4 linked regions of the Oryzias latipes genome follow. The protein of the gene in region 1 purifies or fractionates together with the protein of each later gene. This does not show direct contact. Links are inferred from orthologs where the notes say so. Each region holds a gene or a part of one and is shown in the gene's direction. Other genes may lie near its edges.

Region 1 (4,305 bases):
TCACGTTGAACTAAACCTGTGTTCTAGATCAATATAAAACTGCTATATATTTAGTGAGATTTGTAAACAGAGTGTAAACCAAAAATAATGAAGAAGCTGCCTACCTTGAGGATAAAGTATAGCAATGAACGCGAAGCTGGTTAGGAGAAAAGAACTTGAAACTGTCCTTGGAGTAAAGTTCCGTTTGAGACAGGAAACTGCCAGTGACATGACTTGCCTTTCAAAATAAAAGCAACGATGTAGAAAACTTTTTCCAGAAGTCTAGCATGTGTTCTCTTGCAGTGACAGATAACAAGACACACCAAGATTTCCTTTTTTTTTTTTTAAATCACCAACCAATAGAGTGTTTTTACTGCAAGATGAGTTGTCATTTGTATAAGAAAGTCTGGAGTGATAGAGAAGTATGTTTGAGTTGTTCAGGACATCCATTAGAGCTGGAAGACATAAGACGTGCTGTATGTGTGACAGAAGAGTTCAAGCTGGAGGTGAGACTGCACCATCAGCTTTGAGCTCCTTCTTGTTTGCTGTGATGATGGATGGACAAACTGGCAGATAAGGAACCTCTATAGATCGTGATGTTTGCAGTTGACATCACGATCTGAGCAGAGAGCAGGTGGAGGAACATCTAGGAGATTTGTTCTGGAATGCAGAGGAATGAAGATCAGCTGCAGCAAGACAAAGTTGCTGCATTTAAATGAGAGGAATTTAAGCGGAATGTTTCAGGGAGCAGAGGTGAAAAATTGAGGACTTTAATGGCCACTTGTTGTGGTAATTAAGCCATTCATTAACATACCATGGTTTATAAACTTTACATTAATTGAATTATAAATTGTCTAGGAATACTTTTGACAGCAACAAATACAAGTTCCTTTCAAAACCAGCTGACAGTGCCACACCGTCACAAGGAGGTTCGATATTTGGTGTGGTATACGATATTTTTTTGGACAGAAAAAGCAACTAAAAGGGCTCAATCAAATTGGAATAATCTTACTTCCGGTTCATGTGTCAAAATTAAACATAGAAACAAGACTGCACATTCGTTAGAAAGTAAACATTGACGCTGCATCGTATAATAAACATAAAATTCATTAGGATATGTAGACAAGATGTTACAAGAAAAACAATCTTGAAGCCTGTAAACTGTATTTACCCCCTTATGGTCACAACTGCAGACAGTAATCAAGATTGACGTAACTACATAATTTCGCTTCCGGTAGACACGTTAAAAATAAAACTATTTTGAAACACAGCCTGACAGTGAGAAATACATAGCAAAAAAATTACGTAAATTTTATTTTAATTATAATTAAATTCATAAAACACATGTTTAATTTAACAACATAAACTCAAACGTTCTCACTAAAAGTTTTAATGAGTGCTCTTTAAAAACTCTCTTTTATTTTGAAAGTGTAACCAGGAAGTTCTTCATACGTCGGTTAGATGGTTCGCCATCAAGATCGTAACAAGCAATGCTACTCTTTGTTAAGTGAAGTGCTGTAAAATCTTGTTTTAGAACAAGATTTACGTTTTTAACAGTCAACCGTGCTTCTTTTGATGCTTTTCTATTATAGGAAAACGAGCCGGTAAAAGTTCGTCGCGGCGTTTTCTTATTTGACAGTAAGCTAGGGCTAGCGTGTTAGCTGCTCAGACAACAGCTCGTGAGGATGTCGCTTCACGGCAAAAGAAAAGAAATCTACAAGTACGAGGCGCCATGGACGGTGTACGCAATGAACTGGAGCGTTCGTCCGGATAAACGCTTTCGGCTGGCCCTCGGGAGCTTTGTGGAAGAGTATAACAACAAGGTGCGTAGCTTGTTTTATGTTTTGTTTTTTGAGTCAGCTAACCCTTCACGAACAAACGCGCTTGAATCAGTGCTATGCTAGCTCTGTACATGTTTAGAGTGGTATTGCAAAATGTTATTGCGTTTATTATCTTCGTAATAACGTCTCCATCGATGCTTAATGGTACCCCTTTTTTAATTTAATTTAATTAATTAATTAATTTATTTTTTATTAGAACGAATCGCTTTTATTTTTTTCTTGTCATCATATCTCTACTCAGGTTCAGTTGGTGGGTCTGGAAGAGGAGAGCTCCGAGTTTGTCTGCAGGAACACGTTTGATCACCCTTACCCCACCACCAAGATCATGTGGATCCCGGACACCAAAGGGGTCTACCCAGACCTGCTGGCCACCAGTGGAGACTATTTGCGCATTTGGAGGGTAGGATGTCAAACCCCGGTCACCTGCTGCGTCTGTCATGTTTTTGTTTGGGTCATCTCTTTGTAACTCGAGTACTTTTCACTTTGGGATTTTTTTTTACATCGGTGTGTTTGAAGGAACTTATACTTGTCATGCTTTACATTGCCGCATCGCTGCTTTATGTGTTAAAACTCTTTTATATTAAAGGGGATTTTCAGACCTGTAAGCATAATGTTACAATTATCAAATGAAACTTTATTTATAGGGCATTTTTCATACAACAGTGAGTGCTTTATAGACTTGAAACAATCAAAAAAATAAATAAATTATAAAATAGATTATAGAACACATTTAAACATAAAATTACATAAATACAATTCAAAATAGAGACAAAAGTGAAAGAAGTGAGGAAATTTTATTTTGAAATGAGATAGAACTGTAAGTAAGTAAAAGTAAACTAAATGTCTGGAGCATTTTTTTTTAAATAAAAAGGTGTATGTTACCTCTTTATTTTCTTTTAAAAAGCACAGCATTTGTATATATTTTTTTTAAATTTCCCTGAACTATAGCTATAATGCTGAACCACTATGACAAAGGCTCCATGTATGTAATGAAACCTGTCGTTATACTTTTTTTCCTCCCATTTCTAACTTTTGTGATGCCTCACAGTTTCTTTTAAAAGTATCATTTGGCAGGTTACATATATGCCTGTTAATTGGCTTCTAACATCAGTTTAAGTATTTTTTAAAAACACACGCAATGCTGTTTATTAGGCCTGGGCGAAAAATCGATTGAATGAATTAATTCGAATTTTTTGTTACGGGCGATTTCAAAAATAACTGAATCGAGTTTTTGTGTAATGGCGCATTTTTGGCTCCCCGGAGCTTCCGTAGCGTTAGTTTCACACGGCAATGTGGCAAGCGACAAACAACAACATCATAGCACACACGAAACAGCAAGCGACAACATGGCTTACTGCCACCGACGTGGAGGAAGAGCCCCCCCCCCCACGCTGCAACATTTGCCTAAAGCCCATCGCAGTCAAAGGCAACAGCACCACAAACCTATTCCAACACCTGGGGGAAACCTTTTATTACAGTTCTCCTTCAATCCGTAACTCCAAACATGAACGCCCCCCCCCCCAGCACGCTGTCACTCACTCTCGCGCGGCACGCGCTCATTCCTCTTACACACGCACGCAGTGCGCTGACACGCACACTCATTCTCCAACACCTATATGGTTAGTTCATTAGTTACTTCGTAGTTAGTTTTTACTGTTATTTGTTAATAAAGAATACTGCGTTGCAATTATGAATTACATTTATTTGTGTATTCATTTGCGATGCCGGATGTTGTGTTAGGCGGGGGGGTTGACCGCGACTCCTGCTGCTTCGTCAGCGCGGTGATCAAAAATCCCACACCGTGACAGCTCTAGTTTATATCTTGTGGGACACAGAAAAAATGCGACTTTTCCAGTACGGATAGCAGAACCGTTGAGGTCAGATCTTGAAGAATGTTGCTCTGGGGCTCGTTCAATACGGGGGCTCAGTACCCATCCCTAGGGGCACGGTGGAGAACAATCACTGAAGCGGTCGCTTTGCATACAGCCAAAGACATGGTACCCATATATACTGTGGAGAAAACGGGCTTTATTAATTCAATTAAAACCTTAGACCCCAGATATGAGCTGTATTGTTAATCCTTTAGAAATGGTGCTACTCTCAAGGTGTAAGTCTGACTTAAAACACAGCTGGGACTTTGATTCCCGGAGTGTGTTCATTTATTTATTATTCATCCCAGAAATGGGGGTTACATTTGTCTTGCGTTTGATTAAATAAATCAAAATTTGCTTTAAGTTTTCTGCCGTTTGTACTTATTGCTTTCCTTAGGTAGGGGGGAAAATCGGAAAAAATCAGAAATCAATTAAAAACATTTTTTTAGACCATATCGCCCAGCCCCAGTGTTTATACATGCTTATACCATGGTCTGAAAGAATACTTAATTCTGATTGGCTGCTGGGTGTGGATATATCATTTTCCTTTGCCGCTCCAGTCGAGGTCACAAGACAATTTGCAGCACAACGTAAGAAATAGTCTGCTTTTTGTG
Region 2 (4,484 bases), on another chromosome or scaffold:
AGAGACAGGGGTCTTGCTCCTTTATCCTGTGAAATGCCAAGTGCAAGCATTAGGTCCGTTGTTAGGGGGATGTTGCTTTATTTTTCTATGATCAGTACCAACCCAGCTGAAGGAAAAACAACACTCCAAATATCAGGGGACAAATATCTGAGCTGTCAGTGATTTTTATGACAAACTTTGTTGTTGTTGTTTTCGTTTGATTACTTGTAAGTGTTTGATTTCTTACCTTAAAACCAGCATAAAACTAGCATGACATGACTTTGCAAAAATGGATCATTTAACGTTCAAATGTGCAAACACACAAGCAATTATGAGACAAATAGTTTGATTTACACAAACAAAGCTTCTTGCAGAAAGTTATGCTAACCCCACTCGGACAATCTTGCTTTCATAAAACACGCAACACAGATTCTAAGAAAAAATTCACGTAAAATACAATAACAAACATAAAAAGTGCTCTGCGAGTATGCCCTTTAGTTACTAAAAGCGTTAGCACTATTTTATAGTTTTAACTACCAAGTTTGAAAAACTTTTATGAAGTAAGGCTAGCTGGATGTGACTGCATGTGTTAGCTTCGGACACTCCCTGCTCAGCTGTCAGGAACAGTCACTGGAAAACCACACAAAAAACAAAACTTACCGGCTGCCGAGCAACATCAGAAGAAGCCATGGTTTCAGACTAAACTTAAAGGCGTCAATTAGGACAACTATTATTAATTAAAACTGGGGGAAAAAATCCGAGATGATGTCCTATGAAATCCAGAAAGAGCGCCGTTGAGTCTGCACTCGACGAATGAAAAGACGATACCAATCACAACAATGTAGAAATGAGGGTAAACGTTTGGTTTGGCAAACCGTTTTAAAACACGTAGTTCCATAAATGTCATAAATAGAGGTTATAGGAATATTTAAACTTTTAAACACGTTTTTCATCTTAAGACTTTATAAAAAATTTAACTAAATACAGCAACATGTTATGCTATGCTATAAATTTGTCCCTTTTGTGCAATGGTATAGCCCATGTGAATCTTCCCAGTCACTCCCAATTTTATAGTTATGTTTTCGAACGGAACAGAAATTTGGTAACTTTTCAAGGAACGATTCATTGTGAATTTTGTTTCTGACATTTTAATTTAAAAGTGTACCACGAGACCTCAAACGTGTTAACAACTGAAAACAAAAATCAATTGATTTGTTTAAATCTGGAAGTAAAAACGTATGTCCTCAAATCCAAACATGTTTTAACGCATTACAGTAATTTGTTCTTCCGGGAGTAATCAACAATTTGCTATTTTTAAGATGTTCAAACGGCGATGTTAGTGTCCACCAGCACATGCAGCTGTATTACGTGGATTTACGGCGCTATTTTTTATTTAGAGGTTTGGACACTCGTGATTACGAGGAGTCCCTAAATGCAACTCTTTGCAGTTTACGAGATTCTTCAAAAAAAAAAAAAGAAAGAACAGCTCAAGCGCGACCCCTATCGTTCAATGCCCGCCACAGGTTTTCCAATGGAGGAAGGAGGAGGCCGGAGAGGATGCGATTCTTTGCTGCCACCGAACCAAGTGGATGAGCAGTACCATGAATGTATCCTGGGAAGTTAATGAGTAGCTGAGCCTGCGACTCTTTCCAGTCATTAAAGGAGGAAGAGGAGGGCGATGGCATCCCAGATCACGGAGGAAGCCGTGCAGGGGTTTCTGTCGGAAAGAGGAGGGAGGGTCCAACAGATGGAGCTGATGGATCATTTCTTATCTCTCCGTGGGTGTCATGACCAGTCAGACGAAGGGCTGCGGCGCATCGTCGACAGCCTGTGTTTGGTGAAGGTGGAGAACGGGGTGAAATATGTGTGTCTGAACGCGATGCGTTCGGACTCGGGCGGCCCGGACCACCAAGCGGAGTGCAACGGCAACATCCAAGAGGCGCTGGACAACAAACATGTGAACGGCAATCCTGAAAATGGAGTCCAAACAGGTGAGGGGAGAGGATGTTAATTTTTCCCTTTGCTGGATTTTTTTTTCAATTGTTTACATTTAAGTTTTTATGTTTTGTCGCAAGTGGTAAAACGCTGTTTTGAAGCATAATTGTATTTATTTTATTTTATGTTTTAACTTTACATATTTTCACAACAGTTTTATTTTGAAAAATAACAGAATTATTTCAGCAGATATGGATATTATCTATGCAGAAAAATTACTGTGTGCATCTTTTAAAACATCACTACACATAAACTCTGTTGAAGTGGAAACCCCGTTTTATTCCTCTACAGAGGCACCACTTGCCAGCTTGGACAATAACAAACAGTCAAACGACAACGAGAATGGGGCCAGGTCTCAGTGTAGAATCAACGCAAGGACGCCTGCTACATCTACAGGTGGAGGGGAGGTGAGGCTGAGGGACAGGAGGAGGCGAGAGTCGGCCCCAGTCATTGCTGTGCAAGATCTGGACCAGGGCCACCCTGCTGGGCCACACTGCCAGCAGGTGCGAGGGGCTCGCAGGGTTTCCAAGGGATCCCAAAGAGCCATCCTAACCAGCTGCTTGTCTGAAGACAGCGCACTGGAGGGACTGGAGTCCATTGGGGATATTCACACACCCAAGGGCAGCCGCAGGAACTTTATAGAGCTGATGATGAGTACTTCTCCTCAGGTTGGAGTTTTTTTTTTCATTGATTTTCTATATTTGCATATAAAAGTGCCAACAAATGTCAAGAACTTAGCTCTCACAGGTTCGCAGGTCGCTGATCAACCGTGGGCCCCGTGTCCGAGACTCCCTGAGGAGCGAAGGTGACTCGGCGTCCCTCCTCTCCTCAGCCACCGATGAGGACTGTGCCTTGGTGACTTTGGACCCACTAGAGCACGAGTGGATGCTTTGCGCCTCAGACGGCATGTGGGAGAGTCTACAGCCGCTGTTGGCCGTGGAGCCCAGCCTGGTGGCCAAAAGGGACTTTGTTACGGGCTTCACCTGCCTCCACTGGGCGGCGAAGCAGGGCAAAGCCGAGCTGCTGTCCCAGCTGCTGGGCTTCGCCAAGAAGAACACCGTACCTTTGAATGTGAACGTGAGATCTAGTGCTGGATACACACCGCTGCACCTGGCTGCCATGCATGGTCACACACAGGTGGGTTGCAGGGAGTAGGAGACACTCAATTTGATCTCAAATAACCCACATTTCTTTAAAAATAACATATTAAATTTACAAAAAGAGAATTGTTTTTCATTCTTTTATAATTTGCTGATGTATAGCCGGCATTTATAGAAGAGCAAATGCCCTTCACTGTGGTTGGCAGGTGGTTCGGCTGCTGCTGTCAGACTGGGAGGCAGACCCCGAAGCTCGGGATTACAGCGGGAGGCGAGCCATCCAGTACTTGCCCCCACCGCTGGCTGCTGACCTGCAGCAGGAAGGAGTGGTCACCTCACCGACCGCCGAGTCGGACGCCGAAAACGGCAGCGGAAGCAGAGGTGGAGGGCGAGGCTGGAAGCTGGCCAGAGTGCTGCAGGGCAACCTGAACCCTCTGCGGCGACTCCACCTGTCAGCTGAAGCGGCGGAAGAGCCGGCGGGGAGCGGGAAGGCCAAGGGGGCCCTGCAGAGGAAAACGTCCCTCAGCCGACTGAACGCCAAACTGCATCGTGGGCGCCACCGGGCCCAGATCATCCACAGCGCCTCCTTTAGGGACTCTGGAGAAGTGGAGATAGGAGAAGACGCAACCAGCAGTCCACTTCGCACTAGACCACTATCCAGCCTGTTTGGGTGAAGTACAACCAGCAAAATAACCAGCATCTTTAAACAATTCCATTTCCACATCTCAGAGTTCCAATATTTCCTACAAATAAACAAAGATTTTTTTCTTTAGAAATGGTCACTTATTCTCCTGAGCTTTAATTTATCTTTGTTCCGAATGCAGTGAATAAGCTTTTTGCCAATCACACAAAAGGGAGGTCCCTCTTTTTACCCGTCAAACCCATTTCTTTAAATCCAAATCAGATCAGCGGATCTGCATATATTCAGCTTGTCCTAGTTGTTCTGTCTAGAAAGGCCTTGTTTAAAGAAAGTAGCAAAACATTAGGATTCTGTTCACACAAACCTAAAAATACCTTGATTATGTAGCCTTACTGTAGGTCAGAAGCACTTTGAAGTGGTTCCACACTTTTTCCTCCATAAAAAGCATCAGATTTGTTTACAGAGTCATATATTTTTAGTTTTTCAAATGTGAATGATGTCCCTTTCCTGTGTTGGAGTGGTGCTGAAGCTTTCTTTTTATGGTACATTTCTGGAAAAATGGATTTATTTCATGAAAAACAGAGTTTAATATTTACTGTTCTTGTATTGATCAACCTGTTTGCACTCGTCACTTTGAAGTCTGTAGCTGATTTAGGAATAGAACTACATAAACTAAATACACTTATAAAAAAGAACCCTTTTGTTTTCTGTTACACTTTTATTTTGCAGGTCTAATCGGTTATACAGACCTTAACCTCTCACTTATGGTTTTA
Region 3 (4,441 bases), on another chromosome or scaffold:
GTAATGCTACCTCCAAACTACTGAACTGTATTCCTTTACAACCTCTGATGGTTTATAAACGGTGTGTTTGTAGCCTTAGGATGCACCGGTGCAAGCAAGTCCCCGCAGTCTTCAGGTAAGCATCCCCTCAACAAGCTGTGTTTTGAGTTAGTGTCCCATAACCATTCCCCCTTTACACTCTTAACCCAAATTAATTTACCACAAAATGTTGATCAGCCAGCAACCAGCAATCTATTAACTGGTTACCCCAACTACCATGCAGTGGTGGATAAAGAAAAAAAGAAATGAAAACCTTAGGGGAAAAACAACTTTTTTTTTTTTTTTTAGCTTGGCATGTTGAAACCAAACAGTACAGTCAATATCCAAATGTAAAAAATTGGGAATCTTCATGTATTCTGGAGTTATTATTTAAGTATAGGCATCAACAGGTTAACCATCATGATCAGAAAGTGAAAGTCCTTAATTTCATCATGTTAACATCTTGTCAAATAAACAATAATCTTGGTATCACAAAAACGATGTGACTTTTTTTTAGTGTGGCAAGACAGATTAAACCATTACTGCAGGTTTACTTTCTCATATTGCTTTTGTTACACTATATTTTACTGCTTCTCACCATTTTATGCTTTCCAGCATAAATAATCTTTCAAGTTAAACCCTGAGGCTTTTTTGCTCAAAATCCTTTTTGAATTTCAACCAATCTAGAGTGAAAAATATCCTCCTCACTACCGGCAATAAAAACTTGTCCCCATAGTGGACATTTCTAGACCTGAAAATTATTCAACCACTGCAATTACTGAATGAACTCCTTTTGGTATCTACAGAGGGCATTTGTGGCTTTTCAATGATTACAATGATACACTTAGAATGCCGATAGCACTGTCTGAGAATTTGGTTTGAAACAGTATTTAATGGTTGTTCTAACAGAGTAGAAATTAAAAGAAAACATGAGAAGAAAGCAAACACTCACATGTTTCTCAATTTATGAAAAGTTGAAAGTTTTTCAAGGAAGTGTGGCGCAAGATGAGTGTACACAGTCAGCATGGCAATCAATAAAAATAAAAGTGTATAACCTGAACCAACAATGTCTGTCAATAAAAATCCATCCAAAAAGTGAAAATGACAAATTCATAAAAAACTCATAGTCTAACAAAGATTAAATAAACTTCATATGATCCTCTGCATTCATGTAATATTAGTGTTCAACTAATAACATGAACCTAAATGATCGATATTGGATCAGGAGTGGCCATAATTCGGATAACGCTAATAACAAAACACTTTCGAAATTAAATCCTTTTCCCGACTACATTTCCCATCCGTCTTTCTCGAGGAAACAAAAACAGCCTTTCAGCCAATCAGATTGTTGGAGGCCTTCTACTCTACTCCTGATTGGCTATTTTTGTACACATGTTCCCAAGATGCTTTGCTGTGACGCTGTGGAATTCAAATCTAGCAGACCAATCAACGATCGCCAAAACGACCGAGCCAGCATTTTAAATTTGTACGAGACACTTGTTATCGAAAAGGCAGAACGGGACAAGGCAACCGCTGCCGGGGAAGTCTGCGCAAGAATTCTGCCTCCGGTTTTTTTTTTAATTAATTTATTTAATCTTGGGACCTGTCGGCCTTTAAATGTTAGTCAACGTTTGCGGTTTAGATCGTTTGTTAGTATTTGCTGTAAATTGAGGCGTAGAAAAAGTTAGCTTCGAAGGCTAAACTAACGTCGGTTGAGTTGGAGGGTTAAACAACACTTTAGCCCTTGTTTAATAACTTTTGCGTTTCGACTTCTTTGGAGTTTTATTAACGCGGAAAGAGCACTTTTAAAGTACACCATGAGTGCTGCTATCGCAAAGCCGGCGCAGCCGTCCGGACACGTCGACCCAAAATCGGCTCCTCTGAAAGAAATCCCAGAGGTTTTGGTGGATCCCCGCACCCTGAGGAGATACTCCAAGGGCAGGTTCCTCGGCAAGGGGGGCTTCGCCAAATGCTTCGAAATTACAGACATGGAGACCAAGCAGGTTTTCGCTGGCAAAATAGTGCCCAAGTCGTTGATCCTGAAGCAGCACCAAAGGGAGAAGATGAGCTCGGAAATCTCCATTCACAAGAGCCTCAATCATGCTAACATCGTGGGCTTCCACGGCTTCTTTGAGGACGACGACTTTGTCTATGTGGTCCTGGAGATCTGCAGGAGAAGGGTGAGGATTTTGGGAACTCTAAATGAAAATACATGAAGGCCAACGGTTAACAATGTGGCCTCTTCCGTTACCCCCCCCCCCCCCCCTCCTTTGGCATAGTGCTGGGAGACTCAAATCCCCTGATCACTGCTTTAAATCACTGTTACTTATCCTAAACCAGTAACTTTTTGTAATTTAAAACTATAGAGATATCTAAATTCTTTTTCCCCTTTGTGTTGTTCCACGTGTTGTTTTTAACACTTCTTGAGGTGCCACTTCACTTCATCCAGCTTGTTCATGCTCTCCCAGCCTCCATTTTCCTCCACTGAGTTCAGCCGCTCACCAGAACTGTTGTCCTTTTTCAAGTCCCTGTTGGAGTTGCACAAGCGCAGGAAGGCGGTCACGGAGCCGGAGGCTCGCTACTACATGACCCAGCTGCTGAAAGGGGTCCATTATCTGCACAGCAACAAGGTCATCCACAGAGACCTGAAACTGGGGAACATCTTCCTCAACGACGACATGGAAGTCAAGATAGGTATGGAGAGCAGGAAACCTGTCGGTGTAGTGACAAAGAAACGGGCACACCCATGTTCTTGATATGCTCCCATAACTTCCTTGTTGAGAACTTCCAGCTCCAATTTGTTAACACCCATATTTGGCTTCTTAATATCCTTTACTCAGATTAAACGCTGATCATTTCTTTCTTTCCTTTTTTGCTAGGTGACTTTGGTTTGGCCACAAAGATTGAGTTTGATGGTGAACGGAAGAAGACCTTGTGTGGAACGCCCAACTATATCGCTCCGGAAGTGCTGTGCAAGAAAGGCCACAGCTATGAAGTGGATGTCTGGTCACTTGGGTGCATATTGTAAGTGTGTAAACCCACAGTGGAGTGGGGAAGAGTGTCATTCCACAGGATTCTGGATACTCAACTTCCTTCCTGTATCCTCTCATAGGTACACTTTGTTAGTCGGCAAGCCTCCGTTTGAAACCTCATGCCTGAAAGACACATACAACCGGATCAAGAAGAACAATTACACCATCCCCTGGGTGAGAAGAGCTGACGTTAATCCCTAAATGTACGTAATAGTTGGTGAAAGAAAATCTTAAGTTTACCGTCACTTCACTTGAATGCTGCAGCAAATCAACCCGTCAGCCTCGGCTCTCATCAAGAGGATGCTGCATGCCGATCCTGCCCAGAGGCCCACCATCACTGACCTGCAGACGGATGAGTTCTTCACATCGGGATACGTCCCCCTGCGGCTGCCCACCACTTGTCTCACTGTGCCCCCGCGGTTCTCCATTGCCCCCTCCATGGCTGCAGAGCTCAGCCAGAGGCGCCCCCTGACTGCCATAAACAACAAAGGTAACAAACCCAACAATTGCCCAAAACTGGTGCACTGATAATGAAAGTCTGCAGTTAATCAACAGTGATATTGATGGAGGTTTTTTTTATATATTTTTTTTCTCAGCCGGCACAGAGAAGGTGGACATGAAAGACGAGCCTGCTCCACTGTGAGACATCACACTAAGGTCTAAAACATGCGTCGTAGTTTGATCAAAAATGATAAATGGGAATTTTGTGTGCAGAGAGGCGGAGCCAGAAGAATGTTACCTGAAGGACATGCTGCAGCAGCTCAACAGCATCATCTCTGCCAAGCCTTCAGAGAAGGCGGTCATTCGGCAAGGTGAGAGCAGCCGCCTGCAGGAACTACCTAAACTTTCTGCAGTTTTAGTCAGTCCTTCTTACAGAAAACCCCTTGTCTTTGATTTCAGAGGAAGCAGAGGATCCTGCGTGTATTCCCATCTTTTGGATCAGTAAATGGGTCGACTACTCTGACAAATATGGATTAGGTAAATTCTAAATCTTAGGACAGGTTTGCCTTTTATTGTCTTGCTTTTAATGGAGAATTAAGGGTGTGCTGTAAATTGCTTTCGCAGGATACCAGCTTTGTGACAACAGTGTTGGTGTTCTATTCAACGATTTCACCCGACTCATCATGTATGCTGATGGCGACAGTCTGCAGTACATTGACAAGAAGGCTGCTGAGTCCTATTTAAGCGTTCGCTCATTCCCTGCTTCTCTCAACAAAAAGGTTGGTGGATGAAGCTAATTCTGTTTGTTGCTTTGTTCAGGTAATTCTGAAAGAAGACAGAATAACCTGTCTTCTTTCACGTTATTGTTTTTTTTAGAGCCCTGGATATGACATCAAAAAATGAATTGTTCCCTCAAATTAATAATTTGTGGCCATAAATTATTATTTTGA
Region 4 (4,518 bases), on another chromosome or scaffold:
GGGATGCTTGTCTGGGGCTGGGGGTGCTCTACTTGGGCCCCTGTGGCAGTTGTGCTGGGTAGCGGATGTGATCACCCAGCGGATGGCTTTTCTCTATCTGCCACTGTGCGGGTGTTGGGGGGATCTGGCTGCCGCTGCTGCTGCAGCAGGGTCTTGGTACGGGGATGATGGGCCCTCTCCCTCCTTCTTTTTACATTCCATCATCCACCTCAGAATAACATAAACACTCACTTGAGCACAGGTGTTAGCTCACCTTTGCACTAATATTTAGCATGACTAAATGCATGCAAACTCTTAGCCTGAATGCATTTGTATGCGTGTGTGAACATCAGTTGTGTTATGCCCATGTTTACCTGTTTATATGTGAACATTATTGGAGCCAAAAGGTATGTTTGTAACATTTGAGTGTGTGTGTGGACAGCCCCTTCCCTTTTAGATTTATTATACATCAAAACTTCCAGCAAGTTTTGATGTTTAATTATTCCCCCCCCCCACTCTAACATTCATCTTTCTTCCCTCATTTGTTTTTCTTTCAAATCCAACAAAAAAAAATGTTACAAATATATGTTTAATATGAATATAGTTTAGTATAAATTACAAAAGGGGTTAATTCAAATATATACCATGTGTGTCAGAAGATTCATAACCCCATGTTGCAAAAAAAAATATGTCCAACACAAGAGGGCTTCAGCTCTCATCTGTTTCCTCAGTTGTTGGACAGGAGAAGTTAATAAAAAAAAGAAGGAAAAGAACTCCAAGAAGCAGGAGATGTGGACAATATTAGATACAGCTAATAATTGACAATTAGACTTCACTCAAACCACTTTTTGAACTTTGAAAGTCTAATTTAGTGTTTAACATGCATACATGTATCATTTCAGTTTGTTTAGAAAAATAATTAGTTAAAGAAAACATTGTTGCATTTGGTAACAAGAATAACTTTTATTGTCAACTAAAAGACAGAACAAATGTGCAAAAGAATAATATTTATTTTTGCTCATTTTACCTTTAGAAGTGTAAAACACTTTTATTTTGATTGCTGTTTCCAAAAAACAAATTTATCAATATGGCAAAAATATTTTTTGTGAGCAGAGGTGCATTAGCTTCAGAGAATCATTTGTCAGAGGTGACAGATGGTCAAAAAGACATTTTCATTATGGGAATCAATGTATCTAATGTATCTTAAAATTTAAAGAACAAAAGCAAATACATCAAGGAAAAACTAATTTTAAAAAAGCATAATGTAAGAAACTTGTTTTAGTTTTTTGCAAAAGTGTGTTTCGTCAGTAGGGGGCGCAAACCTTCAAGCCAGTTCTTTCAATCGAAAGCATTCTGGGAAATGTAGTTATAAATATCAGTTTAAAAAAGTGTATACTTTTCTAAGTCGTTCTTCTTGTTTCGATACGACATATGTCACATTTCAAAACTTAAAGTAGATAAGGTTGTTTTGTGTAAAACTATATTCTTTACTTTTTTTAACACGTTTTAATTCTCGAACCTTCCGTCATTTTGCCGGTTTACCCATAATGCACCCGGGTTGATTCTTTCTTCTCGGTGTGGTGCTCCAAAATGTCGCTTTTGGAAGGTCCGCTAAATGTCTTCGGCCAGAGAAGCACTGGGGAATCTGTTCGCACTCAAAATGGTGAACTGCTATTCATTTCATTTTGTAATTTTGTTTTATTTACAGTATTTATAGACTGCAGAGCGGTACTTGTGTCAATGAGGTTTCCGCATGTAGCACACACGTGCAGTCATGCTAGTGCTAGTTATCGTTACGACGATGTGTTAACTAGCTCGCATTGCTTTTAACCAGCACGGATGCGCGTTCTTTCCACAGAATTATAGCAATATCCATACTTTTATTTGGATATATGAATATACGGCTAAGTTTTGCGATTTAGCTTTAACGGATTAGCGGTTTAGCTCATGAGCCTCATCTCATGATGTAGTAGGAAGGTGTGGTCCGTTATTTGCCTGTTGCTATATAAAATATTACGTGCATCTCAAAAAACGAGAGTTTGTTGTTTTCAATTTGTAGTTAGCTGTTTCAAAGCGCACTTGATGACTTTATACTTCCGTGTTGTTGCAGTCATGGCCGCAGCTTCCATCGCGAACATCGTCAAGAGTTCTCTCGGACCCTACGGCCTCGACAAGATGCTGGTGGACGACATTGGGGTTTGTCTCGTGATTAAGTAAAACCAACAAACAATTCTGCGTCCTGTATTTGATTATATGGTTCCCATCCTGAAATTGACAGGACGTGACCATCACCAACGACGGAGCAACCATCCTGAAGATGCTGGAGGTAGAACATCCTGCTGCCAAAGTCCTGTGCGAGCTTGCTGACCTCCAGGACAAGGAGGTTGGAGATGGAACTACATCTGTTGTAAGTCTTGGCTGACAGCTCCTCTCAAATCCACCGAAAGAGGAAGTGTTGGGGATTTTAGTTCTCTTTCCGTGTGTTGAATCTTAGAACAAAATCCTGTTCTAGTACCATGCATCTGCTTTTATTACGGATGTGTGGCTATGCTAACAGGATAGAGAAACTATCCCTCAGTGTCTGAAGGGGTTCTGCAGCCTCATTTCTGCCACTCCTAATGAAACGATGGTACAAAATTTAAATGTGTAAATTGTTAAAATGTCATTTTGATCACTGTAATACTTTCTGGCAGGTGATTCTCGCTGCAGAGCTACTGAAAAGTGCAGACGAGCTGGTAAAGCAGAAGATTCATCCAACCTCAGTCATCAATGGATACCGCCTGGCTTGCAAGTGAGATGGGTTAATAATAACTAGGGATGTCCTGATCACTGTTTTTATTTTTCTCTTTTTTTTTTTTTTTTTTTTAGTTTTGCCCGATTTGATTGCGAATCATTACATTTTGTGTCCCAATCCAATGCTTAAACGATCTTAGACAATGAGGTAATTTGACCAATCAAGCAAAGATAGTGCTACTATCAACAAGAAAAAAATGTTAACTATTGACTAGTAAAAATGGATGATTAGTCATGTGAGAAAGTTTGACTGTTGCTTTAGTGTCTTCAGAATTATTTAACTTTTTTGATCAGATGTGATTCATATCTCTTCAATATTCTTTAAAAAAAAAGGTTAAATAGTTGTTGTAGCATAAATATGATTCATGACTAGTTATTCAACCATTTAATAGTTTCGGTTGTTTTTGGGACATGGATTTTTTTTTCTTTTCCCTTTGCTGGAAAAACTCAACTGAGTTTTTCACTTAGCAGATGGTCTCTTGGTCTCACTGCTGTCTCTGTCAGCACCACGGATAGAGCCATTTTCATTAAAGGAAACCAAAACACAACCTTTTTCTTTTGAAATGCCGTTGTAGGTCATTGTTCGAGTTAAGACAAAACGCAAAAGACATTTGTGTTTTAAAAGGTTATTAAAAGAATTTTTTAGCCTAGAAGTCTGAATCTTTAAATATCTTGCTAACTTTCCTGAACTGTTTTTGCTCAAACAAGTGCCGTATTCTGCTGCGCTTTACAGCAATATAATGTCGTAGTCTGTTCATGATTTAAAGACTTCTAGTATAGTATTTATTTGTAATAGTAAGCTTGAAACATATAACTCTGATGTTAAAGACAAAATAAACATCTGATCCAGATTAAGGCTCAAATTACAGTGGCGTGATCAGATTGGGACATCCCTAACAGTAACCGTTGTGAAAGATGAATTCTAAGTCTAACAAAACCTCTGAGTCATTTTTTTTCTTTCCTGTAGAGAGGCAGTGCGCTACATAAATGAGAACCTCACCATTGGGACTGATGATCTGGGAAGAGAATGCCTGATCAACGCAGCCAAGACCTCCATGTCTTCAAAAATCATAAAAGTGTATCCTGACCGACAATGTGTCAAATCTTCCTGGAAAATTACGTCGTCTCAGTCAAGTGTTTGTGCTTGTGCTAAAAGTGAATACTGAGCGCTTGTTTACCTTGACTTCAGTCTTCAGTGATTCAGACTTCTTTGCAAACATGGTGGTTGATGCTGCCCTGGCTGTGAAGTTTGTGGACAGCAAAGGAGTGGCCAAATACCCGATCAACTCTGTCAATGTGCTGAAAGCTCACGGTCGCAGCCAGGAGGAGAGTTTTTTGGTTAACGGATACGCCCTGAACTGCACAGTTGGTTCACAAGGTGTGTTTTTCAATGTTTTTCAAAAAGCTGTTAGTTTGAAATGTGTGGACTTTCACACGTTTTTTTTTTCCATACCTTTCTGTAAAGTTACTGTTGTTTAAAGTCCCATTTTTTTTTGCTGCTATACCTTGCTCGGTGGTATACGCAGTGATACGCGTGGGAAATAGTAAACTGGTTGAAGAGAAGTCTAGTGGCAGTGATATTTAAACTCTGGCACTTCTTTTGGCCAAACAGGATTTACTTTTTTGTCTTTTTGGAGCACTATTCTGTAATGTCTTCAGACACCTTCAGCTAAAGACGAGCTGGTTTCTCTGCAGGAATGGTGAAACGTATTGTAAATGCGAAGATCGCCTGCCTGGACTTCAGCT

Evidence for each region. The genes of interacting proteins can lie anywhere in the genome.
Region 2: the proteins of dcaf7 (region 1) and sowahc purify together in Homo sapiens (affinity purification with mass spectrometry; 4 studies listed by BioGRID and IntAct, counting the BioPlex papers as one, with this or other methods). This does not show direct contact. The link is inferred for Oryzias latipes from reciprocal best matches to the Homo sapiens genes DCAF7 and SOWAHC.
Region 3: the proteins of dcaf7 (region 1) and plk1 purify together in Homo sapiens (affinity purification with mass spectrometry; 3 studies listed by BioGRID and IntAct, with this or other methods). This does not show direct contact. The link is inferred for Oryzias latipes from reciprocal best matches to the Homo sapiens genes DCAF7 and PLK1.
Region 4: the proteins of dcaf7 (region 1) and tcp1 purify together in Homo sapiens (affinity purification with mass spectrometry; 3 studies listed by BioGRID and IntAct, counting the BioPlex papers as one, with this or other methods). This does not show direct contact. The link is inferred for Oryzias latipes from reciprocal best matches to the Homo sapiens genes DCAF7 and TCP1.

The regions. Positions count from the first base shown.
Region 1 is NC_019866.2:4,065,065-4,069,369, forward strand, and holds the start of dcaf7 (DDB1- and CUL4-associated factor 7), read left to right. Parts: upstream 1-1,416; 5' UTR 1,417-1,664; coding exon 1,665-1,802; intron 1,803-2,061; coding exon 2,062-2,220; intron 2,221-4,305. UniProt on the Homo sapiens protein: Involved in craniofacial development. Acts upstream of the EDN1 pathway and is required for formation of the upper jaw equivalent, the palatoquadrate. The activity required for EDN1 pathway function differs between the first and second arches.
Region 2 is NC_019879.2:18,178,593-18,183,076, forward strand, and holds the start of sowahc (ankyrin repeat domain-containing protein SOWAHC), read left to right. Parts: upstream 1-1,476; 5' UTR 1,477-1,657; coding exon 1,658-1,970; intron 1,971-2,265; coding exon 2,266-2,642; intron 2,643-2,721; coding exon 2,722-3,111; intron 3,112-3,280; coding exon 3,281-3,745; 3' UTR 3,746-4,484. Other genes in the region: sept10 (septin-10), read right to left, coding at 1-26, 640-669.
Region 3 is NC_019859.2:22,726,160-22,730,600, reverse strand, and holds the start of plk1 (serine/threonine-protein kinase PLK1), read left to right. Parts: upstream 1-1,433; 5' UTR 1,434-1,835; coding exon 1,836-2,198; intron 2,199-2,543; coding exon 2,544-2,712; intron 2,713-2,897; coding exon 2,898-3,042; intron 3,043-3,130; coding exon 3,131-3,224; intron 3,225-3,314; coding exon 3,315-3,540; intron 3,541-3,646; coding exon 3,647-3,689; intron 3,690-3,764; coding exon 3,765-3,862; intron 3,863-3,950; coding exon 3,951-4,028; intron 4,029-4,115; coding exon 4,116-4,270; intron 4,271-4,441. UniProt on the Homo sapiens protein: Serine/threonine-protein kinase that performs several important functions throughout M phase of the cell cycle, including the regulation of centrosome maturation and spindle assembly, the removal of cohesins from chromosome arms, the inactivation of anaphase-promoting complex/cyclosome (APC/C) inhibitors, and the regulation of mitotic exit and cytokinesis.
Region 4 is NC_019882.2:7,310,943-7,315,460, forward strand, and holds the start of tcp1 (T-complex protein 1 subunit alpha), read left to right. Parts: upstream 1-1,510; 5' UTR 1,511-1,569; coding exon 1,570-1,642; intron 1,643-2,089; coding exon 2,090-2,175; intron 2,176-2,257; coding exon 2,258-2,386; intron 2,387-2,672; coding exon 2,673-2,770; intron 2,771-3,739; coding exon 3,740-3,850; intron 3,851-3,968; coding exon 3,969-4,150; intron 4,151-4,467; coding exon 4,468-4,518. UniProt on the Homo sapiens protein: Component of the chaperonin-containing T-complex (TRiC), a molecular chaperone complex that assists the folding of actin, tubulin and other proteins upon ATP hydrolysis.